Linked DNA regions of Mus musculus: regions 1, 2 and 3 are each reported to be linked to region 4. Evidence: microRNA targets listed by miRTarBase, many of them from high-throughput screens and not tested one by one. Region 4 holds a microRNA gene; each other region holds the end of a gene's coding sequence.

Region 1 (7,120 bases), not on the chromosome of region 4:
AGCTGGCTCTAGGCTGTGACCACCTTATCTTTCTGTCCAGTGGTTTTTTTTGATCTTTCCTGAAGGGAAACACTTTCCTGGACTGTTGGCAGGGCCAAGTGAGTTTACAAGTATACAATGGCTTAACACTTCCTCTTGTAAAAGTTGCTAGATTTAAGACTGGGCAGCTGACGCTAAGTCTGGTAGTGTGGGGCTAGAGAGAAGCTGGCAGAAGCCATGGTCAAGTGAACGTCATCGGGGAAGGAGGCACAGTGCTCTGGGGTGATGGGTAAGGGAAACCTCCATAGCAATTTTCAGCCAATAAGAAAAAGACACCAACAGTCTCTACTCGACCTAGATCCCAGATGTGCTCATGAGAACAGCTGCCTCACCAGGACAAAAGGCTAGAAGACTTGGCCGCTACTCAGCTGCAGTCCCTGGATGCTGCATCTGCTTCATCAAGAGTCCAGACAGGAAAGCCAGTGGAGATTCCCAAGGGCAGCGTCTCCATGCAAGACGGAGAGGGAGGCCAGACCTCAGACTACACTGAACCCTCTGGAGTTTGAGGAAAAGATGAACTCACACGAAGGAGCGGACATCACCAAGCCAATGACATCCACAGAAGGCAACAGTTCTCACCATGGAAGCCAGGTTCATGATGTTCTTCCAAGGAATCCTATCCACTCGTTGGCTGACTTCTGGCGAGATGTGCACCAGAGGTGTTCAGAGGCCTCACTGAGGGTGGCTGGAGTTTTATACAAACTTTAATTGGGAAGGAATAGCCATCCCCAAATCACTGGCAAGATAGGTACTGAGTCTTTCCTTTTTTTTTTTTTAACATCTTACTGAATTGTCTGGACTGGTACTGCAGCTGAAGACTCATGGTCCTCCACACCTTCTCTAAAGATGGTGCTGGACCTCTGGACCTTCACATGGCCCCCAATGCCACCAAACAGACTAGGACTTAGAGAGTCCTTGGCTTCTAGGTGCATGGCTTACAGCGCAGGTGGGCTGCTGGATTTGAGCTGAGCCCAGCTGTGGAGAAACACAGCCTGGGTTAGAGAGTCTGTTGAAGCACATTCCTCCTCCAAAGTCACACCTGACCAGTAGTCCCCTGGTCCTGTCACCAACAGCTAGGAAAAGCCACAGCTTTTAGGAGGAAATTCTACCCAAACTCCAGACATCAGCTGGTAGAGAACCTTGTCTGCTGTCTGGCAAATGCTAGTGTGGATAAGCTGTTCCCTACATGAGAGTCAGGGCTGGGGTGTGGGTTCAGCAGGGCTAAAATCCATGTGACCACACAGACCACATCTGGCGAGGATTTGGGAGATCTACGTGTTCTGTGGGAGAAGCTGGAAACACTTGAAAGGAGGGAGAAAGGCGAACACCTTGAGCCGTGACCTGTGAACGCAGCGTTCTTGTGCCACCCGATGCTCCCAGGGCCCTTCATGTCTCAGAGCTTCAGCAGATTCATTCAAGACAGGTTCACAGTGAAGTCAGTGGGGTCACGAGCCACCTAACCCACCAGCCAGAAAACCCAAAGGCATTTATGGGTCAAGATGGCACACAAAAGCCAAGCACCGGGGTAACCTCGTACTTGGGAAGATGGGGAAAGAGGATCAAGAGTTCAAGGCCAGCCTGGACTATTTAGTAAGACCACACTCCTCCAACCCCTCCCCCCCAAAACAATGAAACTGAAAAGTAATAAAGCTAAACAGAGGATGGGGTACAGAGCATCTGTGCTTGCCTACTTCCCCTGTCGGAAGAAGTGCAAAGGAAGAGAAAGTTCCAGAGCCACGGACTGGAAAAGATAAGCCAAAGGCCACAGGCACCACCCATTCAAAGCTGAAGAAGACCACTGAGAAAGAGGCAGGGAAGGGTCCTCCCTACCATGTGCCTGCAGGGGGCAGCAATGAGGAGCTGCCCAGCTTGGCACCCAAGATGAGCTTGTGGGTTGGGATGGTGACTGCAAGGTGAGATACAGCGCTGATTCTTGGGCCTCCTGCCCTCTCATTGCAGCCAGATGACTGTCTTGCCTCCTATTCATAGAGGACTCGCAGGGCACAGCCCAGGGACAGAAGCAAGGCAGGAGCAGCTTCAAGTGGTTACACAGTGATTCCTGAGACTGCCTGCTTCAAGGCCAGAACACAGAACTCAGGGGTATCTGGGTCCCATCCTATGGTTTGTGCTTGACACTAAGGCACCTGGCCAAGGGAGCATGTGGGGGTTAAAACCCATGCTTTGTCTTACCTGAGGGCTGTGTCTGCTCAGAGATAGAGAAAACAGCTGTCCTCTGCCAACTAAACCAAATATGGATGGTGGGTGGCTTCTGCCCAGAGGGGGACCACTACTAGTATTGCACAAGTGTACTACATGGGCTAACAGCCCTGTGTGTATCCCTCTTTTCCAGGCAGAGGAGTGGCAGGAAGCTCTGTAAGGAAATGGAATAAGCCCCAGAAGAAACATTTAACTACTGACATGGCAGCCTCTCAGAGCTAAGCCAGCTCACTGGGCGACACTGGACAGAACCTTACCAGATGGTTGTCAGAACATCCTGCCAGCTCCTGGGTGTATCGCCCTGAAACATGAGTAGATGCAGGTATCTGTGCACAATGTGAGAGACAGCGACCCAGCTCAACCGAGAAAAATGGACCTTAGAGGACCCAAAGGCACATCTGAGGGCAGACAATGTCCCCCCTCCCCCCAAACAGCTGCGTCAGCCACAAAGAAGACTCACACTCCTGAACCAAGAACAGGAGGCTACACAACAAAACTCAGAGAACAAGGAAGAAGTCTTAGAAGCTAAAAATAAAACATTCTTGGAAAGAGAAGATGGAGCAAATCCCCTCAGAAGCAGATACAGACAGAGGTGAGGGATTTAAGAGACAAAAAAACGTTAGAAGACAAGCCAGGGAGGCCCCATACTGGGGCAGCCAGGGGCTCAGAAAGAAAGAAATTGTAAGAGGATTTAAGGAGTTTCCCATGAGGACCCAGAATAGGTGCCACAGCAAAGGACAGGACACACTCAGGTCAGGCCACCAAGAGAAAGGAGACTGGGGATGTCAACCAGGGAAGGGAGAGTCCTTGTCTTGTACAAAGGCATGGGGCAGAAACGGCATCGGAATCTTAAGTCTGCCACTGGAAAGCAGCAGCAAGGGCTATGTTGCCACCTGCGGAGCTACACCCAGCCACACAGTAGGGCAGGAGACAGACATGTTAAGTCATGGAACAAAACAAAACAAAACAAAACAAAACAAAACTAAAGCTTTTTATTTCTCACATTCCATTTCTCGAAAAGTTGGTGAAAAACAGACAGAGGGGGGGGGGACACAGAAGGAAGAGGAAGAGAGGACACAGAAGGAAGAGGAAGAGAGGACACAGAAGGGAATAGTAGGAGAAACAGCTGAAAGGTAGACAAAAGGGACTATGACCACAAATGAGCCTCAGGGGCAGCTGCCCTTGTTTCAAACCTACAGCACTTTCTTATTTAATAGATGCTAACTAAGCAAGGCTGGAGACGTGATTCAGTAGTTAAGCGCACATGATGCTCTTGCACTGGACCCTGATTCAGTTCTTCATACCCACAGAGGGGATCTGATGCCTTCTTAGGGCCTCCATGGGTACCTGCATTCATGCGCGCGCGCGCGCACACACACACACACATTCACTCACTCTTTAAAAATAAATTTTTTAAAAGATGTCGAGTGACCAACAGCTTGCCAGCAGCTTTCCATAAGTGGTCTCTTCTACATGCCCCTACACTCAAGTGAGATTATTTTTCCCTTTCAACTAGCAACTTCCTGCCAGTTTGAGCCGAATGATGCTTGGGCATCTTGCCTGTAGTAGTTTTAAAGGCTGTTCTAAGCCACAGGAGGCGAGAGAAGCAGTATGCGCAGACTTCGGACCAAGGTCTAGACCCATAAAATAAACGATTCACATCTGGGCCAGCTCCTCTTTGGTACCTCATCTGGGCAAGGACCCTGCAGTGTGCGAGGTCATAAAACATCACACATAAAACCTTTATCATCTGTACTTTTGAACTTCCAATGGGACCAGGGAGCTCATTAAGTCGTTCACTTTCTTTGGAGCTTTGGGCCTTTAACCTGGAAGTGTTCCAAGCCCCCAACCTCTCTCCTCTTAGAAAGCTTCAATTCTTTTTTGGGGGGAGGGGGAGGCAGACGCCAATCAAAATGGCTGAGAAGCCAAGTTTTTAACTGTCCTGACTCAATGTGCTATGTAAATTGTCTGAGTCGTTGGTTTGCTTAAGGAGAATGACTCCTGGGTGAAGAGCAGCGTTCATGTCAGATGCAAGATGTGATGCCTCATTCCCATTGTATCCATGGAAACACACCTCTGGAAGTGACTCTGAGGGTCTTTCCAGAAAGAGGCAAGGCTTGCCCTGAATGTGGGCAGCACCATCCCCTGGACTGGGGGTCCCAACCTGAACTAACACACACTCTTTCCCCCCTTCCCCTTCCTCTGCCTCCCGATACAACATGACTAGCCCCCTCACATTCCTGCTGCCACGATGCCCGCTGTATGATGGATCGCATCCTGGAGCTGTGAGCCCCTAGACCCTCTCCTTTCTTCTTAAGTTGTTTTCTCAGTTGCTTTGTCACAGCAACAAGAGTAGTAACCAACACATAAGCCTTTACAGCCGTCAAGAACATTCTAGAAGGAGCCCAGGCTAAGCTTGGAGGTTAATAAAAGGTCTAAAAAGGACGGCTGTGTTTGAGTGAGGACATTTGTGTACCTGGCTGGACGTTTTCTACAAAGAAAAAGCAATAGTTCCAGACTCGGGGGCCAAGTGGCCTGGGGGCTAGTGACCAGTCTGTGATAGGCTGTGTGACCTTGGCCAGCCTGTTCTGCCTCTCTGAGTTCAGAGATGCTCCCTGAGGCCCATTCTGGACTAACGGTTTGTGGTTTTATAAGGGCTGCCTAGTGTGTTTTTTTTGGGGGGGGGGTTCGAGACAGGGTTTCTCTGTGTAGCCCTGACTGTCCTGGAACTCACTTTATAGACCAGGCTGGCCTCGAACTCAGAAATCTGCCTGTCTCTGCCTCCTGGGTGCTGGGATTAAAGGCGTGCGTCACCACGCCCTGCTAGTGTGTGCTTTTTGAGAGGGATAGCAAGGGCAAGAAGAAGCTGGAGCTTTGCCAGACTTGAGCCTTCGCAAAGTGGACAGGGGACACTGGGGTAGGTAGGGGCCGAGGAAGACAGGAGGGTGAGAAAAGAAACCTTTCTCTTCCTGCAACCTGCCTGCCCCAGCCTATACCCTGGTCCTTTCCAGAAAGCCTTTGCAAGATCTCTGTTTGGTTGACCGCAAAGGATGCTGGTGCCAAGGTACGAATGCCTCCTGAGCCCAGAAACCTGCAGAAACCCTCCCAGCGCCACCATTTGTGGGAGCTTATTTTGGCTGGGCCACTTCCAGCCCCCTGGGGCAACCTCATGCAGCCCCTCAAAAAAGACAGGTTCCATACAGAAGACTCAGCAGAGGAAGGGAGAGTCAGGGCTACCCCAGTCAGCCAGAGCCTTGCTTTGCATGCAAATCTAGACTGGCTTTCATCTGATAGGAGGTCCTACTGATGGGCAGGTTTTAAAACTAGAGCCGTACCTCAATTCAATCAATAAAAAGGCGAATTAAAAACGCAACCCTCCAAGAACACCAAGGTGAAAGACGAATGGGTTGTAGCTCACAACAAACCTGGCAGAAACACCCTCTTCTTTGGAGTCTGCCAATGGCCGGGTGTAATTTCCAGTGAACGGGCAGGTATGTGCTGTTTAAGTCCCCAGCAATGGATGACCAGGCTGGGGCAGGTTATCGCTCAAACACTCACACTTGAAGGCAAACAGGGTACCGTTCTTCCTACCACAGACTCCGCTCTTTCTCAGAGTTGGGCAGGCCCTCCCCTGAGATAAAAGGAAGTAACTCAAGCTCCTCCAGGACCTTAGGAACCTGCATGTGCACATGTTAAGACCCAGGTTTGGGGTACACATTAGTAAGGACTCGCATCTGACCAAACAAGGCACATAAGGAGGAATCGCGTCCACAGATCCAGCCTCAAACCTGAGCTGGGAGCACACAGTCTGGAAAGAAAGCATGCTCTCGGGGGGGGGGGGGGGCTGGGAGGGGGGCTTAGAGAATCAGAGGACATGTGAGCAAAGACTGAACCGGACAGCAACAGGGGGTGTGGGGCCTGTGCTCCCTCTGCCGTCTTCCATCTCTGCACAGGTGGCTCAACCCTGAACAGACAGTAAGATGCGGTAGAAAGACTCCGCCCTGGCCAGGGTCCTGTCTTTTTATTCTCCAGACACATGTTTCAGAGCCGGCTGACATCAAGCTGTGGGAAGAGCAGTAAGCAGTAAACGAGGAGCCAGAGGAAGAGAATGAAATATATCACGTCGGGCTGCTGTACAAACTGCGTCAGAGAGTCGTTGGGCGGGCTCTGGTTCCCCAGGGGCACAGCTTCTCCAGAGGAGTTGGTGCCAGTCCTGCAGAAGGAAAGAAAGGGACAGGATGGTTATTGGTGGGGTCCCTATGATTGGAAGACCATCCTGAACCTCAACCCCACAACCCATCCGCAGATAAAGGCTCCCATAATACATCAGGGAGGTCCCCATTTGTGTGTGTGTGTTCCAGGAGAGGGAGCTCCATCACCACTCCCTAACAGAAGGAGCCATGCCAACCATTTCACAAATGACCACAGTGACAGTCATTGGGCAGCAGTTGTCAAAGGCCACACAATTACTTCATGATAGAGCTGAGCCAGGTCTCCTGGGACAGTTCAGGAGGAGGTAGGACTGCCAGCTCTCACCTACCTACGCCTCAGTTACTAAAGGGACTTTGGCTGATAATTTCAAAGCAGCTACTGGGGACAAACAAGTCAAGTCACCCCAAGTTTTGCCTTTGACAGGTTGCCTTCAGAAGCACTGTCAGCTTTGATTTGGGTCAGAGTTACCTTTCTTTTAGGTGGTGGGAGGGGGGGTTTAACAAGTGAGCCAGGTTGCTTTTGCCTGGCAGGTAATGAACGGGGTGCTAACTGGAGGGAATAGGTGGTGGCAAAAACCAACCATCCCAAGGAAAGGTAGGAAGGGGTGGGTGGGGAACTGATACACAGAAGCCTGAAGTATGAGCTGCACAGG
Region 2 (7,120 bases), not on the chromosome of region 4:
AAAGATTTATTTATTTTTTATTATATGTAAGTACACTGTAGCTGTCTCTGAAGACACACCAGAAGAGGGAGTCAGATCTCGTTACAGATGGTTGTGAGCCACCATGTGGTTGCTGGGATTTGAACTCAGGACCTTCAGAAGAGCAGTCGGGTGCTCTTACCTGATGAGCCATCTCACCAGCCCCTTCCCTTTTTTAATATGGCACCTTTTCCCTGTTCTTCTTTCTCTAAAAGCCATTTTTTAAAAAGAGCATATGAGTGTCTTGCCTGCATTTACATACACATACTACATACATGCCTGGTTACATACACATACTACATACATGCCTGGTTACATACACATACTACATACATGCCTGGTGCCTGAAGTTCCTGTTGTTGAGAACACTTCTTTAGTAACCTACAGAGCAGGTAATTATAATTCCAATTCAAAGAACATTCTTCTAAAGAGCAATTTATTTCTTTAGACAGGGTTTCTCTGTGTAGCCCTGGCTGTCCTGGAACTCGCTCCATAGACCAGGCTGGCCTCGAGACTCAGATAGATTGATGAACAGATAAATGAACACAATACTTTCCGGGAACAACGTGTCCCTAATGTGATTTTTTCCACACATCTCTGTAAGGACAGTTAACTAACTACTTCAAGGGAAAATAAAACCCCAAGGGAAAAAACAAACATCAATGAAGTACTTCACAAGTTCACTGTGTACTTTTGAATTTCTGTTTAAATTTATAGCCCTGTTTGGCCATGACAAGGATAAGCCTGATAAAAAGACTAAGAACTGTAATTTATAACGCTATTTTCAATGCTATCTGAAAATGAACATATACTGCATAGCATAATAAAGCAATATAAGGGATTTTTCCTTTCCTTTCCTTTCCTTTCCTTTCCTTTCCTTTCCTTTCCTTTCCTTTCCTTTCCTTTCCTTTCCTTTCCTTTCCTTTCCTTTCCTTTCCTTTTTTCTTTTCAAGACAAGGCTTCTCCCGAATAGCCCTGGCTGTCCTGGAACTCACTCTGTAGACCAGGCTGGCCTTGAACTCAGAGATCTGCCTGCTTCTGCCTCCCAAGCTTTTAGATCAGGATTTATCTCTAAAGTTAAAACCCGATGCAGACAAACCTCCTCTGCCTTTCAGACAGACAGAACTCCAGAACACTTTCAGCATCCACAAACCTGAATTTTCTGTTAACACTCGATGCTGAAGACAGTCTGTCAGTCACTGTGACAAAGTTCCTGTGGTGTCTGCCCTGCTTCTCTGTCTTAGCATCCAGACTTCACAACCCAGGACTCCTTCCTCAGCCCAAGTGAAGCTTTACAGAAAGTAACAACAGTCCTGACTTGCTGCAAGCTGAAGGACATGGACATGTTCTCTGTTACTAATAACGAACAATAAAGGACATCAATTCACAGACTTCAACATACATATTCAGACACATAAAGAAAAAAAAATACTCAGCTGCCACTAATAAAATGAGTTTACTTTATTGTAAAAGTTTCCCAAAACACACATGCAGAGCCACCCACATTTGGGGCTTGAGATTTAACAGAGATTTTATAAAATTATTTCCACTTAAAGTATTAAAGTACACAGAGTTAAAAAATATATATTAGAAGGAAAAAAATGTTAAGTCAAGGTTAATCGGCAGAATTCCCACTAAAAGACTAACTTGAGAAGTACTTAGGAAAAAAAGATACTTTCTTTTCAGAAAAAATTTAATCTTAGGGTATGTTTCTTAAGAAATAGTACAAACCACAAAACAATGACCCTCTCAAATTTTACCTGTTTCACAAATAAGTCAACCTAAAAGGGAGAGGTCAGAGGACACGCTTTGGAACTTGTGTTCAGATTTCTGTATTTAGATCTTCATTCGTTGTCTCCCCCGCCCCTCCAATGGCAGACAATATTCCAATGAAAAAACCCTACAGTTAATATAAGACAGTATTATAGTAATACCATTAAGGTTCAGGCATTTCTCCAAATGTACAAAAGAGAAAGAAGACGATGTAGCCAAGGGCTGACGTCATTTTAGAGTAGTTACATGTTTTATAATACTGTGGAAGTCTTTGGTGGTGACACATGGAATAAGATCCCTGAAAACACATGAGGAGTTAGTTCTGTCCCAGACCTCTATGTGCTAAAGTGTTTATTGCTAGAAACGATAGCAAGATCTCATTTTTTTAGCCCTAGAAAACACACACAGTGTGTGTGGAGGGGACCTATGAGGAACTGAGGTGGCCGTAGACAATTGTTTATGTAGTAATCAGCTTATTTCTGGTTCCTTTTTGTTTTTCACAGGATTTTTTTTTTTTAATTTCAAATGATGTGTGTATGTGTATCCGTGAGAAAGAATGTTCACATGCACGTAGGTGCCCTTGGAAATCAGAGGAAGGTATTGTACCCCCAGGAGCTGGCACTGCAGGCTGCAGTGAACTAAACACCTGGCTTAGGCACTAAGAACTGAATCCAGGTCCTCTGTAAGAGCAGTATGCATTCTTAAAACAGAGCCATCTCTCCAGCTATGGCTCTTCTTAATACCAGAAAGGAAAAAGAAAGACACAGTATAGACATATCAATTTTTATACTTAAACAACAGCTAAGTACGGGGAATGTTAGTGATCATGCTGAACGACTGGATACTAAGATGAAATGCTAGTAGGCTATAATTTTTGGATACATGTCAAAAGGCAGAGAGAAACAGTGCCTTAAACCGGTTTGTGCATTCGCGTGCTGGTGCTCCAGTTGGCAGTGTGGGTTAAGTCAAGGCACTGTGGTCTATGAATAAATTTACATCTCTTGAAAAAATCAGCATGCTCAAAAGCAGAAACAAACAAGGTGACCCGGTCCTCTTTAAGAGAAACAGAACAAAACAGCGCTTTAGCTCAGCATACAGAGTTCAAAGAAAAGGGCATGCTATGACATGAGACCTTGGGGACAGAAACAAAGCGGGGTAGGACAGTCATCAAGCGCATATGAGCATGTCTACAGCAGGGACAAGCCCGAGCAGGGACCAGGACCGGGAGGGTGAACGGCAGTGAGCAGGTCAGCCAACTTTAGCTCCGAGTCAGGCGGTATCTTTGCTTGAGAATTTTGATTCTAGAACGTGATATTTCTCCCAATTTAAAACGCCTGTGAAGTAGGGTATGGAGCCACACACCTGTAATCTCAGCACTTAGAAGGCGGAGGCATAATGTTGTTGACTCTAGCTGCATATGTATCAAAAGATGGCCTAGTCGGCCATCACTGGAAAGAGAGGCCCATTGGACACGCAAACTTTATATGCCCCAATACAGGGGAATGCCAGAGCCAAAAAATGGGAATGGGTGGGTAGGGAAGTGGGGGGGGGGGAGGGTATGGGGGACCTTTGGGATAGCATTCCAAATGTAATTGAGGAAAATACATAATAATAAAAAATATTTAAAAAAAAAAGGCGGCGGAGGCATCCAGAGTGACCATATACTGGAAGTAAGCCTGGGCTACACAGTGCATTTCAGGCTGGCTAGAGTGAGGCTTAGTCTCAAAACAACTTGGGCATGGTGGGACACACCTCTAATGGCAGCATCTGGGAGGCAGCGGCAGGTGGAGCTTTGTGAGTTTGAGGCCAGCCTGACCTACAGAGTGAATTCCAGGACAGCCAGGGCTACACAGAGAGACTCTGTCTCACAAAACAAAACACCCTCCACCCAAACAAACAAAAGTCAAAAGAAGAAACAAATAGTATACAAACTCATTAAATAATAATAAGTTTGTTTTAACTATCTTTTTTTTTTTTTTTTTTGGTTTTGGGATTGAACTCAAGGCCTTGTGTACCTCAAGCATGGTGTCTATCCTTAGCTCCTAAGGGTAAGTTTAATACTGATACTGGACTTGAATATGATACAATCTTGCCAATTTGTCCCCATGGAGACAAAGTAACTTACTGTACTTATCACATCACCTTATCAGGTAACACGGCCTCTGCAGGGAAAACCACCCATGCCGCACAGCATTGGTTCAGAGCAGGTCTGGTTCATGAGAAATGAATACATCCTGTCCAATAATTTATTGTGGGACTTTATAGATGTTTGAATAGAAATTAAAGAATCCTTTTCGAAAGGAAGAGGCTATTAGTCAAAGCAAAGTAGATGGAGATACAAGATTAAATTGGGGAGGAAAAAGATTGAATTTTTATTTCGTGTTAAAAATATTAACAATGTGATTCTGTGTAGAAAATATTCGTAGTATCAAGAGGTCATTGTGTGTGTGGGCCATTCAGGCACCCCCATGTAAGCATTGTTTGATATTGAAAATTTGATTATTCATCACCCCAATATGATTTAGTGTCCACAATGTCCAGTTAGTAGGGCAACCTAAAAGGAGCTGAGTTCAATCCCTCTAAATCTGTTAGATTAAAAAGAAGGCCTTTAGCCTGGTCTCCAGAGTGAGTTCCAGGAGAGCCAGGGCTATACAGAGAAACCCTGTCTCGAAAAAAAAAAACCCAAAAATAAAATAAAATAAAATAAAATAAAAGATGGCATTTTTCTGGAAGCCTGTTACGTAGCATCAATGGTGTTTGTGTTTTACCCTGACACTCATTTTCAGAGAATAATCTCAGGCAGAAAAAGATCTAAAAGATGTTAGTCATTGCTGGGTCTGTAAGGCAGCATAGGCCTCTGCCGAGCTCAGGAGCTGAGTGTGGGCATTGGGAAGTCCATGAGTTAGAAAACACTAAGTGCTACATTGGTCTGTGACGCTTCCACAAAATCAATCTATCTATCTATCTATCTATCTATCTATCTATCTATCTATCTATCTATCTAATATCTATCTATCTATCTATCTATCTATCTATCTATCTATCTATCTATCTATCTCTATCTAATGTGCATTGGTGTTTTGCCTGTACGCATATCTGTGTGAGGGTGTCAAATCACTTGGAGCTGGATTGCAGACAGTTGTGAGCTGCCACGTGGGTGATGGGATTTGAACTCAGGACCTCTGGAAGAGCAGCCAGTGCTCTTTACCTCTGAGCCACCTCTCCAGCCCCCAAAAGCTTTTTTTTTTTTAACCTAGAATAACCTAGAATAATTTGCTGTTGAGAAAAACCACATCAAATTCAATGATGGAAACTGGTTAATGTTTAAGATAACTTCTCAGATGTCCGGAATATAACTGAAGGGCATTTAAAATGAGCCAAGTGTGATAACGTCTGTTATCCCAGCAATGGCGAAGTGGAAGCAGGACGAGGATCAGGGAAGAGACCCTACCTCAATAAAACAAAACAAAAGACTACAAACTTAACAGTTATGTGTCTATAATGGGCTGAATGGATTTACCAAACGAAACAAACCCATAGGAAAAGGAGATGACGCGGTTTCAAGGCATGATCTTGACATGTCGGAATATGACAGACAACAAAACAGACAGCATCAGGAAAATGTAAATGTACAGTTGTAAAATAAGTAAACAATTTTCAAGTGTGCAAAACTAGCCAGGAAAGTGCTATGTGGACACCTGGTTTTCAAATCATTTGTTTAAAAAACTTTCAGCGTCTAAGGCTTAAGGAAGGACACAGCCCCCTCCTATGGCAATGACACTGGCTCCTCAGGGGCTGTCACCACTCTCCTGTGATAGATGCAGGCAAGATGATGTAAACAGAATGCAACACCAGAACGGCAGGCAGGTGTGTCCTGGAGCAGAGACTTTTGAAGTCTGCCCTGGGTCTAGCTAGGCTTTATCCTTAGGCCCTAGGCACTCAGTGTTGCTGCTGACATCAGGGACGCGATTCTCGGTCACTTTTGTTATCTACACGTACATTTACAAACCTTACATAACTAAGTTTAGCAGTTAAACATCTAAAAGTAATTGTTAAAGAAACACAGACCATTTAAAGTCATTGCGTAAATCCCATCCCTGCCACACTCTGAAGATTTAAAGTGTTAAGCCCTGAATACATCAGGTTAGAAAATGAAGTTGATCTGTTAGCGGTTTATTCATCTTGGGAAGGGCAAGGTGTAGACACTAAAAATACACTTGCGGTCTCTTCTTCACTTTATATTTTAGTGAGCCATACCGCACCTGAAGAAAGAAAAGTGTTAGGGTTAACAATAGGAAAGCCAAAATGACTATGGAAAAGCCGTTAAGGATTTGTTACTCTGTATACTGGCTAAACCAAACTAAAACAAACAAAACTAAAGGGACTGACTACTTTTTAAAATTAGGAAAGTTTTAATATTTTGTCGCCATAGTAACGGTTTTACTCATCTGGCATAAAGAATCAGCTTCTTTGTCAGCTGCTTGGGAGACCCAAGCCTGATGACTGTAAGTTCAGGATCTACCTGGGCCTGGGCCACAGAATGACAACTTACTGAGTTCTTACCTCAAAATAAAATGTGCTGCTAATGTAGCTCGGAAGTGTCGTTCTTGCATAGCCTGCATGGGGTCCTTGTTCAATTCCTAATACAGCACCCAAGTCAATTATTCAACCAACCAATTAATCAATCAAAAATCAACCAACCAACCAACCAACCAACCAACCAGTCAACCAGCCATCAAAGCAACCAACCAATCAACCAACCAACCAACCAGTCAACCAGCCATCAAAGCAACTCCCTGGCAAGCAACCTCCTTATTAAGAACTCCCACAGACATGTAGCTTGTGATGTGATGGGTGTGTGTAGCACGTGACATTATCAATCATAGATAAAGACACTGACTTAGTACTTATGTTTGCTGAGTACTAAGTCAGTCAATGAGCCTGGCTCCTCCTTCATTTTCTTAGCCCAACGACACCGTGTGATTACAGGTAAATTGCTACTATTTAATCATCACATAGGGCTTCTTGAAAGCAAAACTATGCAGTTAATTTTGTCAGCAGCTTTCTCTGCTCGGGCACAGAGAAAGCAATAGAGATTTACAAAAGCCATGGGGTTTGCTGTGTGGGAATGACACTTTTTCTATGTAGAGCACAAGATAAAAAAAAGTTTCCTATTTCAAAATTTCCAGGAAAAAAAAAATTGTCCCTAGAGATCCCTAATACACCTGCTTTTAATAAAGAATTTGAACTATAACGCTACACTCTCATTTGAATCCTTCGTCCGCTGATCACTTCACAGCTGTGATGACAAAGTAGGAAGGAAGAAATC
Region 3 (7,120 bases), not on the chromosome of region 4:
TAAAATAGCTCAGTTTATTAAAGATAATAAAACTTTTATATGAGTAAGTTATTTATAGCCCATTTTGTGTTGGGGCCATTTAGAGCAGTGTTGGCTGCTGACCCTTCTTTCTTAGGTTGCATTAGACGGTGACTGGACCGTATTTTGTCAGAGAGACATCAATGAGACCTTCCTAGCACCTGTGAAGTTGTGCTAATGATTGCTCTGTATAATCAAAGCCCCTGTGCTCTGAAGCTCAGAGGGATTGATCACTTAGCCACCACCATGGGTTCTGTAAGGAGGGACATGCTCTTGACTCCTCTGAACGGCAGGGCTGAGAACTGGCTTCCCTGACGTGTGTGGCCCACAGTGCGCTGGTTTGTCAGTGGTGTGCTTCTTAGTCTCTTCACAGCAATGACTATAGCCTTGACATTTCAGGGAGTGGGTGGAGTCTTCAGTTGTGGCTTTGAAAAAAGGTTCTGAAGTTAAAACATAATGAAAAATTATAAAATGAACCCCTTTTGGTTTATTTCTGAAAATCCTATTCTGTTATTACTACCTAGCTTCAGCAATATATATATATATTTTAATTGCTATAGGGTTTCTGGCTTGTCACATGCTTGCATTTTAGTTGTACAGATTGTTGGAGAACTATTCTTTGTACTGTCGGAACACACTGCCAGTCAGAGCTAAAAAAGGCAGAGTATGCTTTCTCGGAGGGAAATACAAAATATTTGTAAATTTTCATAATTTTTAATACCATTTGTATAATTTTTGTAATAAATACCTACTTTGAAAAAAATGCTTAATGTCCTCCTTATTAGGATGTCTCCAGGAGTTTATACCAGTCTTGTATGTACTTATATAAATTTAATCTGGAAAATACAGTTGTTTTAAGAACTTCACTTAAGGATAACAGGAAGTGAAGGGAATCCAGGGTGATATGTTATGGTTTATGTAGATTTAAATGTATTTACTCATTTTTTTTCATTATTTATTGACTTTACATCCCAATATCAGCCCCCCCCTCCCACAGCTCCTTCCCCCATCCCCTATTCTTCTCCTCAGAGGAGGAGGTCCTTTGGCTATCACCCCACCCTGGAACATCAAGTCATTGCAGGACTAGGCGCAGCTCATTGAGGCCAGACAAGGCAGCCCAGCTGGGGGAATAGAATCCACAGACAGGCAAGAGTCAGGGTAAGCCTTCCCCGCTCCACTCTGCTCCATTTGTTGGAGACCAAGCTGCACATCTGCACATATGTGTGGAGGGCCTAGGTCCAGCCCATGCTTGCTCTTTTGGTGGTGAATCAGTTTCTGGGAGCCCCCAGGGTCCAGGTGTGTTGACTCTGTTGGTCTTCCTGTCGAGTTCCTATCCCCTTTGAGCCCATCAGTACCTCAACACTTCTACAAGACTCCCTGTGCTTCATGTAACCATCTAATGTTTGGCTGTGGGTCTCTGCATCTCTTTCCATTGGCTTCTGGGTGGGACCTCTCAGAGGACAGTAATGCTAGGCTCCTGTCTGCAAGCATAAACAGAGCATCATTAATTAGTGTCAGGGACTGGTGGTTCTTGCCCATGGGATGGGTCTCAAGTTGGGCCATTCCCTTAGTCTCGCTCCATCTTTGTACACATCTTGTAGGTAGGACAAGTTTTGGGCTAAAGTTTTGTGTGTGGGTTGTTGGGAGTCCTGACTGGCTATAGGAGGTAGCCAATTCAGGCTCCATATCTCCCGCCACTATGAGTCTCAGCTAGTTACCCCCATAGACTCTCTAGCAGGTCCTGGAGATGCCCTGCCACTGCTCACCACCAATTTCTGTTCTCTTGTTTGCTCTCCCTACACCTGATTCCTACCCCCACCCCCACCCCGTTGCTTCCCCCATCCCCTTACCCAGTCAGTTCCCTCCCTCCATCCACCTCCAATATCTAATCTTCCCTAATACAGAACTAAACTGATGAGGATGTGGAGAAACATTCCTCCTTTGCTGGCTGGAGTGCAAACCTTTACAACCACTCTGGGAATCAGTTTGGTGGTTTCTCAGAAAATTGGAAATAGTTCTACCAGAAGACCCAGCTATACCGCTCTTGGGCACATATCCCAAAAGATGCTCCACCATACCACAAGGACACTTGCTCAACCATGTTCATAGCAGCCTTATTTGTAATAGCTGCTAGATGTCCCTCAACTGGGGAATGGATAAAGAAAATGTGGTTCATTCACAAATGGCCCAGGGAGTAAAGGCACCTGACCTCAAATCTGGAGACCTGAAGTCAGTCCCTGCAGCTCATAAAGGTGGAAGGAGAGGACTGTTGCCACAGAATCATCTTCTGGTCTCCAGAGCATGTGCCAAGGCATGTGTGCACTGTGGCATGTGTCCCACATGCACAGACAACTATTTATATTTAAACAATTCCTGTACAATTTCAGCTGTTCGTACATACACCTTAAAAAATAACTAGGCAGGTTTCTGACCCAGAGGAAATGTACAGTAAGTTCTGGGTCGGGAATGAGGTTGTGGGAAGAGACTGACTGGCTAGTTATATTTGTGGTTACACCTTCACTCTCCTTTAAAGATAAAGGGTAAAGATGAATGTGGCCTGGCCTGAGGATGTGCTCTGTGGTAAAGACTGTGCAAGGCCCTGCCAGGTTCTAGCTCAAATGCCTTCTCCAGATAAGAATAAGAGCTATTAAATATCTAGTGATTTAAACAAGACTCACAGCACATACAGAGGTATATATGGAATGCCTACACTGTACTGTTTTGTTTTTTTTAAATCTTCAATTTGAGTATCCACACAGATGGGAAGCAAAGGAGGCTCAGCTTAAAGCAAGCACTGGGGAAACCAGGTTAAGCACATGGGCTTGCTGAAGAAATGAATGGAGCCTAGTCACCAGAATGCTGGAGTCAAAGTGGCCAAGCCTGCTGATCCAAGTCAGCCTCCACCTGAATTTCCCCAGGATCCTGAGAACTGTTTAGGCCCTAATTCTAGGCTTTGTCACAGTGCTTTTTGTATAAGTTCGAGGAATACAAGAGCAGGCCCTCATATTTGTAGAGCAAGCACTGTCTCAACTGAGCCACCTCCCAAGCCCTGTAGGTGTGTAACTTAACACTTTTATTATGTGGCCTTTGGTTTTTCTGTTGCTTTATACTACACCAAGTGTCCTGACAATGATTTCTTAGTTTTTGTTTTTGTTCTTTTTTTTTTTTTTTGGAGACATGGTTTAGCCCTGGGTGTCCTAGAATTCATTTTGTCTACTAGGCTAGCCTCAAACTCCCAGAGATCCACCTGCTTCAGCCACACAAGTGCTGGGATCAAAGGTGTGTGCCACCACTGCCTAGCCTAAGGGTGAATGTTATTATCTACTCTGCTGTGGCTTGGACTAGGGCTAGCAGGTATGTTCCTGCATAAACAGCCAGCAGGACGTGCTAACAAATTCAATGCAAGATATAAAAGAAACTAAAGTCTAAGGTGCCCTGCAAGGATGGGGAACACTTTAGAAGTTTGGGGATGAGGAGTTTGGCTTTGGGCAATTTCAGCCTGAAATGTCTCTATGGTAGTTACACACAGATTAGTGTGGAGGTTATGAGAACTCTAAGCAGGAGCTGTAAGTCTGAGAGTCTGAGAGTCCCGGGGCATTAAAATATTATGCAGGTTATAGACTGGGTGAGACCTTGGAAAAATTGAGGGGAGTCACAGCACTATACAGGAATAAGGCATGTTATGTGCACAAACACACATGCACTCACATACCCACAAATGCACTGGCACAAACAGCCCCTCCCTCTACCCGCCCCCCCCCCCCCCAAATAGGCTGAAGAGCTGAGTATGCAGCTTAGAAGAGCTCTTGTATATAAAGTTCTGGGTTTAAACCCTAGCACCACCTATCCCCTCAGCAAAGACACAAAGTATATTTAAGAAATGTGAGCTTTGTTTTTAAATTAACCCTGAGACCAGACCAGTTTTAAACACTCATCTTTATTGACAAAATAGGCTCCTCTTCAGCACACTCTCATATGTAAGCTTAAAGCTGTTTATTTTGGGGATGGGGGTGGGGTGGAAAACTTGCTAAAAACAAAGCAAATGTCTTTCAATATTCACAACCTTAAAATTATATCCAAGAAAACAAAGGATAAATAATTTTTTATAAAAATAATTACTTCTCAAATAACGTTTCACAATAGACCTGCTCAATACATCGATCTGACTCATCTCGTCTGTGCCGCTTTTCTTCTTTTTAAAATTCTGGCCTGGGACAAAACTACATGAAAGAAAGTACCATTAAATTAAGGGTTACTTTCCAAAAAACAATAGAAAAATCTTAAAAGTAAATTCACTTATATATAAAATATTAAGGCCTCTGCATGAGAACGGTTTAACATCTGGGGAACTGGCCCTTTCCTAACTGACCTATGACCCCACTCACCTCAAACTTCAGAATGAAAGGTTCTGGAGTGAAAAGTCCTTTTAATTTTGCCAATACATGAAATTACACATAAAATTACACTGCAAAGTAATATGTACTTAACAAATGATATATTGAAAAGTCTAACTTTCTGTCTGTGCTAATTTCAGTATGGACTTCAGATACAAGTATAGTGTATTTTCAGCCATATCTCATAATCTTTTATTCTTATCACTACAGAAAAGTTTAGGTTGCAGTTGGTATGAAAGCACACTTCTGTATCCTGTGGCCTTAAGAAGCTTTTTTTTTTTTTAAAGTGCAAAGCACAATCCCTTTGTGTCCACACTTCACTGCCAGTTTCTGAGTCACAGGTTGTAGGAAAAACCTCACAGGTTATAAGAACTAGATGAGGCTTAGACTCAGACTCAGAACTTTGATTTTTGGAACCTGTATCTACTTTGTAAGTGTATGAAGAGTAATTTCTTAAATAACAATAAAGGAATTCCAAATTAACTTGGAAATGACCATACCTATCTCATTACATTAAATTGTCAACTCTTGTCTATTGGTGAACTGTCTTGTATCCTTAAACATGATGAAAAGAGGAGGAAGAACCAGGTTCATTGTTAACAGAGAACCAAAACATAATCTTTCAAAGTAGTTCAACCTACTAAATGTGTCTATATATGGCTGTCTTTCTTAGAAAGTATATTCTTTGTCTTTCTTTCCTGAGATGCATACACTTAAGCAAGTCGTGAATAACTGCTAGCTAAGAGTTATGGGAATTAGGTGTAAGTATGTTCCTTCTGTTTGTGATGCAAGTGACGTATTCCTATAGTCTTTAAACATGAACTGCCTTTGATGAGGGCCGAGCAAATGGGCAGGTGAGCACCAACTCAGCAGCTTTATGTACACAAGCTATGCCAACTCTGACACTGAACAGGAAGGTAAGACTTAGAACAAAGTCTTCCATTCAGAAAACCACACCAACCTTACTTTTAAAATTGTGATAATTTAGGCTTTCCAACATTTATTAGGAGTATTCAGGGTGATCTATGTAGCATCTAAGAAGCCAACAGCACTTCTGAAACTGCAGTGCTCAGCAGCACCTTGAAGACTCGCTGTTCACTCTGTGGCTCAGCGTCTCCTTTCTGACTGTGACTGGGATCTAGTTTATGACCACTGGTTATACATTCTGCTGCCGTCTCTTTGCCAGTGTCCCTGTACATACCAGACGGAAAAGGCTGACTGAAGTTGGGCTTTATGTTCACTCATCCACTCACTTCTGGGCCCATTCTAGTGACCGCACAGAAAGCCACTCAGCTCTTCCTCAGACTCAGGTCACTGTTAGTCACTAAGGCAGATAGAGACGTACTCTCTGACGCATCATCCTTCCGAAGGTTCAAAAAGGATTCTCGAGTTATCTGAAGGATCTCTCTCAAGCCTTTATTTTCTTGCTGTAAGAAAATAAGGAAAACCCAAGATGAGAAACATGCAGAAACAGAAACTGCTGGTTTGGCTGAGTCCCTTAAGACAGCTCCAAGAGGGATACATATTTTAAAAGCCAATTTTATGAAGTGTGGCACAGAAAGCAGACTCTATAACACATAAATGGATAGATATACTATGAGTTACAGGCAGTCACAACCTCAATCTAAACAGATTTCAAAGCCTGGTGTGGTGACACCTGCCTTTAATCCCAGCAGTTGGTAGGCAAAGGCAGGGGGATCTCTATGAATCTGAGGGCTTTCTAGTTTGCATGAGGGTTCTAGGCCAGCCAGGGCTACACAGTGAGACTTGATCTAAGAAACAAAAGACAAAGCCAGATTTCAAATGGTGTTTAAGATGCAGCATCAGTACTCAGCCTCCTCACTGCTGGAAGCCTTAAGGTGTGCAGAGGCAACAGGTGACCAGGCAGAAATCAGCTTGTTCTGCACAGACTGGAGATGATATGTGTGTATATAAAATACCCATCTACACTCGCGCTAGGGATAAGTTTATATGACTAAGACTTTGAGGTAGATTTCATCACTCAATAGAAGTTAGTAGGTATGTTTCCCTCAGCAAAATTTAAGTTCAGCCAAGACCAGCTGAGGTAATTATTTTTCAGAAAGATATGTAAATGGTTAATATTGTAAGCAATTTTGTCATTTTATAATCTATTCTCTACAGCTGTTGTGGGCTTACTTTTCAAGTCTCAATGGTCTGGCCCAAGGGTTGTTTCTGAGCATAGTTCTGACTTTCTCCTTTTGCATTACCACAACGAAGTTGAGCAGATATAAACTGACTAGTTTGCAAAGTCCAAAATGCTTTCTGGTCCTTTGCTGAGAAAGCTGACCTACCCTTATTATATAAATGGGAGAGTACTATATGCTCCAAGACAGGTAGGTTTTATGGCCATCCATAGGAAATTTCCTGATCATGATTCCAAGCAAATTGATTTAAATTGTATTTTCTGGGTGTATCTGTTCTATGTGTGTATGTACATTTGAAGACAAAAAGCTGAAGCCAGGAGTCTTCCTCTGTTGCAATCTACTTTCTTTTTTGAGATAGGGTTTCTTTTTTTTTTTTTGAGACAGGGTTTCTCTGTGTAGCCCTGGCTGTCCTGGAACTCACTTTGTAGACCAGGCTGGCCTCGAACTCAGAAATCCGCCTGCCTCTGCCTCCCGAGTGCTGGGATTAAAGGCGTGCACCACCACACCCGGCTGAGATGGGGTTTCCTGTTGAACCTGGAACTT
Region 4 (7,120 bases):
CGGTGCTGCAAGTCCTTGATGGTCTGCTCCATGTTCTTCTTCATGCGCTCCAGGTGGGCGCTGGTGTCCTGCTCCTTCTTCAGCTCCTCAGCCATCATTGCGGCCTGTGTGTGGGAGAGGAGAGCATGTGGTCTGCTCAGGTCCTCGTGGGCTCACTGCCCAGGCTAGGGAGATGCTGCTCTGGAGTGGGTAGGCAGGGGAGGGGACTCACATCTGTGATGGCCTTCTTGGCCTTCTCCTCTGCGTTCCTACACTCCTGCACTGCCTCCTCTACTTCTGTCTGGAGTTGGGTCAGGTCTGACTCCATCTTCTTCTTCTGGTTGATGAGGCTGGTGTTCTAGAAAAAAATATCAAATGCACACTTTATTGCTTAGTTCCATAGTTTTTTTTTTTTCAGAAAAAATTAAAAGAGGCTGTTGAAAAAGAAGAAGGTGGAAGAGGATGAAGAAGAGGAAGAGGGAGAGGAGGAAGAGGAGGAGGGGTAGGAGGAGAGGGAGGAAGAGGAGCAGGAGGAGGAGGGGAAGGAGGAAGAGGAGGAAGATTGGGACGAGGAAGGGAAGGAGGAAGAGGGAGAGGGGAAAGATGAAAAAGTCATCTAAGGCTGAGGAGATGGCTCATGGCTTGGGCAGAAAATCACCTGCCACTCAAGCATGAGGGTCTGAGTTCAGATCTCCAGAACCCATGAGGAAGCTGATGTCATGGTGCACACCTGTAACCTCAGTGACCAGAGGTCAGACCCAGATGGAACTCTGAAGCTCACTGGTCAGCCCACCCATCCAGCTGGTGAGCCCCACATTCAGTGAGATAGTTAGTTCACCTCAGAAGATAAGATGGACAATGACAGAGGAAGACACCCAGTGTTAACCTCTGGCCTCCTCACACGTGCACATATATGTGCACATGTCTTGTGCACCCATGTGCACACATGTAAACATGTACAAATAACACTAATAGAAAATTAAAGAAGCCTGGCCCCCAGAATATTCTAATATGCTAAATTATGGAACAAAGCCACAGAAGGCACTGCAATAGTTCAGCACAAACACTCATCTGGAGTAGGACTGGATACAGTGGGAATGTGCATAGCAGTGTTCTTCCCATCGTTTGCCTGGCAAGAGGATGTAGTTCTGCTTCTTAAAAATGTCTTTCCCCCACCCGTGCATGTGTGTGCATGTGCACGTATGTGTATGTGTGTGCACATGTGTATGTGTGTGCATATCTGTGTATGTATGTGTGTGCATGTGCATGTATGTGTGTGTACATGTGTGTATGTGTGTGTGCATATGTGTGTATACATGTGTATGTGTGAGTGTGTATGTACATATCTGTGTGTGCACATGTAGTGTGTGTGCATGCACATGAGCATATGAGTGAATATGTACATGTGAGTACAGGTGCCCACAGAGGTCACAGGCCTCAGATCTTCTGGAATTGAGTTGTAGGAGATTGTGAGCCACCTGATTTGGGTGCTGTGGACCAAATTTTTGGGGTCCTGTGAAAGAACAGTAAACATGCTTAACTGCTGAGTCATCTCTCCAGCCCCAGTTACACATTTTTAAATTCCCCAGCTCCTATCTTTACAAATCAAGTTGGAGGCTGTCTTGTAGATCAGGGTATCAGATGACAAAAGGCAATCTGTGGTTCCCAGATTTGTGACTCACAGGTGCACTACCATTCAGCCGTGACACACTTAGCTTCTAAGTCTGTTCCTCTTGCTGGAGACAATGGTTCTCCCAGCTGCTACTAACAGATGAGAGCTGACCCAAGAAGTGAGATACTTTGCAATGCCGCTTGACTTGGTCTAAAATTATCCCGGTCTCTGACTCTCAGTGGGTTTCTGCACAGGGTCCCCAACTCTGTCACCTGCGAGTGCAGCAGCTGCACCCGCTCGCTGGTCTCAATCAGCTCCTGCTCTGCCAGCTTCCGAGACCGCTCCGTCTGCTCCACCACAGCCCGCAGCTCCTCCAGCTCCGCCTGCAGCAGGTTGTTGCGCCGTTCCACGATGGCGATGTTCTCCTTCAGGTCGTCATTGGCATGGACAGCATCATCCAGCTGGAGCTGGGTGTCCTGTGGGGAAAGTATGATGGTAAAGGGCCTGGACCTCATGCCAACAGACCTCCATCTTGAGTCTGGCACACGTCACCTCTTGTCATCAGGAAGATAAGCACCTATTTCATTATCTTACTCTCTTGTCCTGAGGCTCGACTGGTCCAGAGTGCACTGTTCCTCGTGCCTACAAACCCAGGAGGCAGAAAGTTCCCACTTTCTCATACTTACGTTAGTCCATTTATTCCCTGTCATTTACTATCTCCTATTCAAGCATTAACCAGTCTCAGCCCTCTTAGCTTCCAAGAGCAGACAAGATTGGGTTATATTCAGAGTGGTGTGTTGTGGACCTTTATCATCTTTCTGGGCACTATACATATTCTGACTTACCACTTTCTAGAGGCCTGGCTCCTGTTACCTTCAAGTGAGCTTGAGAATTCTTCAGGTGTTTCTGTGCCTCTGAGGCTATTCTATTGGCCTGGCTGAGCTGGATCTCCATCTCGTTGAGGTCGCCCTCCATCTTCTTCTTCACCCGCAGGGCCTCATTGCGGCTGCGTGTCTCCGCATCCAGGGAGGTCTGCAGGGAGTCCACCATCCGCAGGTGGTTGCGCTTGGCCTGCTCCATCTCCTCATCCTTCTCTGCCAGCTTCCTTTCGATCTCTGCCTTGATCTGGTTGAACTCCAGCTGGGCACGGAGGATCTTGCCCTCCTCGTGCTCCAGGGAGGCCTGGAAAGCGGAGAGGAGTCAGAGGTGGGTAACTAAGGCTGACTTGGGTTGGGTATGGAGAAGGAGAGGATGGCAGACTAGGACTGTGGCCTAGGAAGGTGCTGTGGTGATAGGTCCTGTACCTAGACGACTGTGGGAGAGAAAGTGCTGAGCCTCCAGGGCCTGACTCCTGGATCTTCCTCTATAAAGGAGAGGATTAGGACTTCTCTTATATTTTTCATTGTGAGCCTAGCCTTTAATGGTTGAGCCATCTCTACAGCCGAATTAAGACTTCTCAGTCATCAGGCCTTTGGGACTAACATAGCAGGAGTTCCTGACCCATCTGACTAAAAACAAAAAATCACAGTAAAGGTTGAAGTGTCTATAGCCCTAATCCCGGGCTGTCCCAAGTTCTTAGAAATGCGCAGCAAGCATGGCTAGTAAGTGCTTGACTGTGTTATTTTACTCAGTCTTCATAATTATCATATACATAATCCTATGAGGTTTATACATTAATTCCATCTTATAGATGAGGGCAGCAAGGCACACAGAGGGTCTCAAGACAGGGTTCAAACCTAGGTCATTTGACCCTGGAGCCTGTGTTCCTACCCAGTGGTTTGAGCTGATATTATGATAGCCCGATTCCAGCCAGGAAGCAAGCAAGCCTTCTGTCCTACAAACCAGACTGTGGCATTGTACAATGTGAGGAACTCAACTTTGGGGGAAGTCATTGTTCCTGGGTATCTAAGAATACCCATGGTGACTGTCTACTAAGAATGGGAGCCAATAGATTTGTGTCCTGGGGTCAGGGTGACTTCTGTGAGGCGGTAAGACAGGATACAGCAGGACAGGCTGGAGAGTGCCTAGTTAGGCCCTTACCTCAGCCTCCTCCAGGGCTGACTGCAGCTCCAGCTTCTCCACCTCCAGCTGTTTGCGGATCTTCTCCAGCTCGTGCACGTTTTTCCCCCCTTCTCCCAGCTGTTCAGTCAGGTCTGAGATCTCCTCTGAGGATCAGAGGACCAGAAAGATCAATATGCCTTGCCCCACTTCCCTTTCCCTGAGGCTCTTCCCTGTCCCCCAGCTCGCCCACCCTGGAGGTTCTTGTTCTCCCGCTTGAAGGTCTCCAGGTGCTCCAGAGACTCCTCATAGGCGTTCTTGAGCTTGAAGAGCTCTGTGCTCAGGGAGCGCGCCTCCTTCTGGGAAGACTCCAGCTCTGACTGCGACTCCTCATACTTCTGCTTCCACTCAGCCAGGATCTGCAGGGAAGGAGCGCCCTGTGACCAGAACTGCCCAGGCCCCTCTCCTGACTCAGCCCTCCTCCCCCACCTCCAAGGAACATGCTGTGGCCTTGAGCTGGCACTGACCCCACCAGCAGCATGCACAGTGTCTGCAGCCCCACCGTGAGCCTACCTTGTCAAAGTTCCTCTGCTTCTTGTCCAGGGCTGCGGCGGCGGCATTGGAGCGCTCCACGTCCACCATCAGGTCCTCGATCTCATTCTGCAGCCTGTGCTTGGTCTTCTCCAGGGAGGAACACTTGGCGTTGACGGCCTCCACTGCCTCCTCTGCATCCTGCAGCCTCTGAGCCAGCTTCTTCCTGTCCAGGGGAATGTATGTGACTGTACTTGGAGCCACAAGGACGTGAGATGATCTCCTCCTTCCGAGTGTTGATGGGAAAGACCCAGCTTCTCCCCACAGTTCCCTAAGATGTTGGAACCCCAGCCTAGAGGATGTGAGGGCTACTGGAGCCTAGAACAGAGACGTCCATCACAGGCTGCTCAGACTCTCCCACACATACATCACATCTGTGTGACTGTGCACCCCCACCCGCTTCCCTCAGGCCCAGGCTGCATGATGATAGCTCCTCTGACCAACAAGCTTTTTGCTCGTCTTATACGTGAGTGTCAGGTATAACCCGGGCCAAAAGCTCACCCGTCAAAGGAAGTAAGCAAGGGCCAGCCAGGCGTTACAGGTTGCAGGACTCAGGCTTTCTACCAAACACTCCCATGGCTCACCAGGTCTCCCCATCCTCTGTTCTCCCACCCCAAAGCTCTTTCCTGCATCTACTCTGCCTGTCTCCACAGCAGACGCTCTGCTCCATTCTCTTGGCAAATCCAGGGGCAGCCACAGTGGACTCACTTGGCTTCCTCCAGCTCCTCCGTCCTCTGTATGGCATCCGTCTCATACTTGGTCCTCCACTGGGCCACCTCTGAGTTGGCCTTGGACAGGACACGCTGTAGCTCAGCCTTGGCCTCCATTTCTTCTTCATACTGTTCCCTCAGCAGGTCACAGTCATGCCGGGATGATTGCAGTGCGTGGGCCAGGGCGTTCTTGGCCTGGGAAGAGGTGGGCATCAAGGAGATTGGAGCAAACCCAACCCTCCAGTCTCTAGATTCTTATGCGTATTTACTTCAGTCAAGACCCAGATTCACCCACATGAAGTGGAGTCTCAATGTCTTTGAGTGATTTCCATTTGCCTACCTCTCTCCTTTACCAATAAGGAGTCATTAAATGATCAGGAGGGCTGACCATTTAGTAGGGAGATAGGTTACCAGGTTACCTCTGGCATCCAGGTGCACTCTTGGAGGTAACAGTGTGTCCAGTGATGCCACGGAGTCTGTCCCACTGCCATTATATGGGCCTCACCTTGCCTTCCTCCTCCAGTTGCCTCTTGAGGTCCTCCATCTGCTGGGTGTAGGAGAGCTTGCCTCGGGTCAGCTGGGAAATCAATGCCTCCTTTTCTTCCAGTTGCCTAGCCAACTCCCCTGCAGGTGGAATGAAGGGTTCTTGGGCCATGGAAGGGGGAAACCAAAGCTACCAGGGGCAGGCTAGGGGACGGTAAGGGGCACCCACCGTTCTCTGTCTGCAGCTTGGCTCGCTGTGTGGTGAAGTCATTGAGGGAGCGCTGGGCTTCTTCCAGCTTCACGCGGTACTCATTGGCCTGGTCCTCCAGTGTCCGGGACACTTTCTCCAGGTTGGCCTGCAGGCATTAATGAGCAGAGGAAAGGTGAATGTGGAAAGGGCCACGACTGGCAGGGAGGAGGGGAGCTGCTGAGAGGGCCCACCTTGGCCTTGATGATCTGCTCCATGTTGGAGGTGACGTCATCCAGCTCCAGCTTGAACTCGCTCTTCTCTTTCTCCAGCTTCTGCTTCACCCGCTGGAGGTTGTCGATCTGCTCGCCCAGCTCCGCCACGCTGTCAGCATGCTTCTTGCGCAGGGCCGCCGCCGTGGCCTCGTGCTGCAGCGTGGCCTCCTCCAGGTCCCGCCGCATCTTCTGGAACTCGGCCTCGCGCTTCTTATTCATCTCTATCTGCACGGATGTGGCCCCGCCTGCCTCCTCCAGCCTCTCACTGATCTCCTCCAGCTCCCGGGACAGGTCAGAGCGCAGCTTCTCCACCTTAGCCCGGGCTGTGCGCTCTGCCTCCAGCTCCTCCTCCAGCTCCTCGATGCGTGCCTAGCCAGGGATACAAAGGATCAGACCTGCTTCCTGGACCCCTCCCTTGAGGCCCGTGCTCCAGGGCTCTAAAAGGCTCCCATGCGCACTAAACCTCTAGCACGGGTTTTCAGCTACTAGGTATAGCTGGTGATGGCTGGAGACATTTTAAACTGTGTGGAGGATGCTATAGAAGCAAGGGACATTGCTAAACACCCTAGAATAGAAAATTGGCCGAAGCCAAAGTTTGGAGGATTTCCCTAAAGCATCTGAGATTCAGTTTGAGCATCTGCAGCCTAAGTGTTGAGCATCTGTGTTTGGAGCGGGATCCTGAGATCTCCTGAGATTATGAACCTCAGACAGCCAACAGTTTCACCTGACTCTGATCCACTGACTATAAGGCAAGGAAATGAGCACTCGGTTTTTTTTGTTTGTTTTTTTGTTTTTTTGGTTTTTTTTTTGTTTTTTGTTTTTTTAAACTAACATTTGTAGCAAAGCTGCCTCAAGAACAACCAAATCCTACTGCAATTATCTGAGCTAACCATGAGGTCTAATCACCTAGATTCCCCATGTCATGGATTCCTTAGGTATCCTAGGTCCAGGATGTAGCTTGATTGCTCCTTTCCAAGCCAAGCTATGTATCAATAAGATGCCCTCTTCTTCATACCCCTACCTCATTGGTGTGGCCTTAGACTTGGTCCTGACTAAATCTGGAGTATGCACATTTGCCATTTTAGCCTTTTGTCTCTATAGGGAAAGTTTGTGGAATTCTCTCTCTCTCTCTCTTTTTTTTTTGGTGCAATGGACAATTTTAATGAACTACAGAGTAGACCCTGAGGTAGGAGAGAGGGGACTTACACCTCTGCTCTCAACGTGGAGAAGGTAGGACTTGAAGCACAGATCCTACACAGAAGAGGGAGGGGCCTATAGACGCAGT

What was found. The annotated mature microRNA mmu-miR-208a-5p reads GAGCUUUUGGCCCGGGUUAUAC and lies in region 4 at 4,658-4,679, opposite strand. An mRNA with a match to its seed (bases 2 to 7 or 8) in the 3' UTR can be bound and repressed. Matches are read on the target gene's strand: a 7mer-m8 pairs with bases 2 to 8, a 7mer-A1 pairs with bases 2 to 7 and ends in A, and an 8mer does both.
Region 1: miRTarBase lists Clmn as a target of mmu-miR-208a-5p. Seed matches in the 3' UTR shown: 7mer-m8 at 3,243-3,249 and 7mer-m8 at 1,127-1,133.
Region 2: miRTarBase lists Reep3 as a target of mmu-miR-208a-5p. Seed matches in the 3' UTR shown: 7mer-m8 at 5,027-5,033.
Region 3: the mRNA of Fgfr1op2 is a reported target of mmu-miR-208a-5p. Seed matches in the 3' UTR shown: 7mer-m8 at 4,680-4,686.

What each region holds. Positions count from the first base shown.
Region 1 is chr12:104,765,495-104,772,614 of GRCm38, forward strand. It overlaps Clmn (calmin), which reads right to left. Exons shown (of 14, transcript NM_053155.2): 14 at 1-6,469. The coding sequence ends at 6,298. Among named protein-coding and RNA genes, the nearest start is that of Dicer1, 17 kb to the left of the region's middle.
Region 2 is chr10:67,007,734-67,014,853 of GRCm38, forward strand. It overlaps Reep3 (receptor accessory protein 3), which reads right to left. Exons shown (of 8, transcript NM_178606.5): 8 at 1,456-6,053. The coding sequence ends at 5,997. The region is part of intron 1 of Gm31763 (predicted gene, 31763); the gene reads left to right. Among named protein-coding and RNA genes, the nearest start is that of Gm31763, 6.2 kb to the left of the region's middle.
Region 3 is chr6:146,596,014-146,603,133 of GRCm38, reverse strand. It overlaps Fgfr1op2 (FGFR1 oncogene partner 2), which reads right to left. Exons shown (of 7, transcript NM_026218.2): 7 at 3,936-5,839. The coding sequence ends at 5,702. It overlaps Tm7sf3 (transmembrane 7 superfamily member 3), which reads left to right. Exons shown (of 12, transcript NM_026281.2): 12 at 1-858. Among named protein-coding and RNA genes, the nearest start is that of Fgfr1op2, 22 kb to the right of the region's middle.
Region 4 is chr14:54,944,450-54,951,569 of GRCm38, forward strand. Mir208a (microRNA 208a) reads right to left here and starts at 4,693; the gene lies at 4,611-4,693. Myh6 (myosin, heavy polypeptide 6, cardiac muscle, alpha) reads right to left here. Exons shown (of 39, transcript NM_001164171.1): 26 at 5,815-6,204; 27 at 5,603-5,729; 28 at 5,396-5,514; 29 at 4,889-5,085; 30 at 4,163-4,346; 31 at 3,843-4,008; 32 at 3,632-3,756; 33 at 2,465-2,773; 34 at 1,864-2,067; 35 at 212-337; 36 at 1-104. It overlaps Gm52092 (a long non-coding RNA gene), which reads left to right and starts at 6,591. Exons shown (of 3, transcript XR_003950992.1): 1 at 6,591-7,065.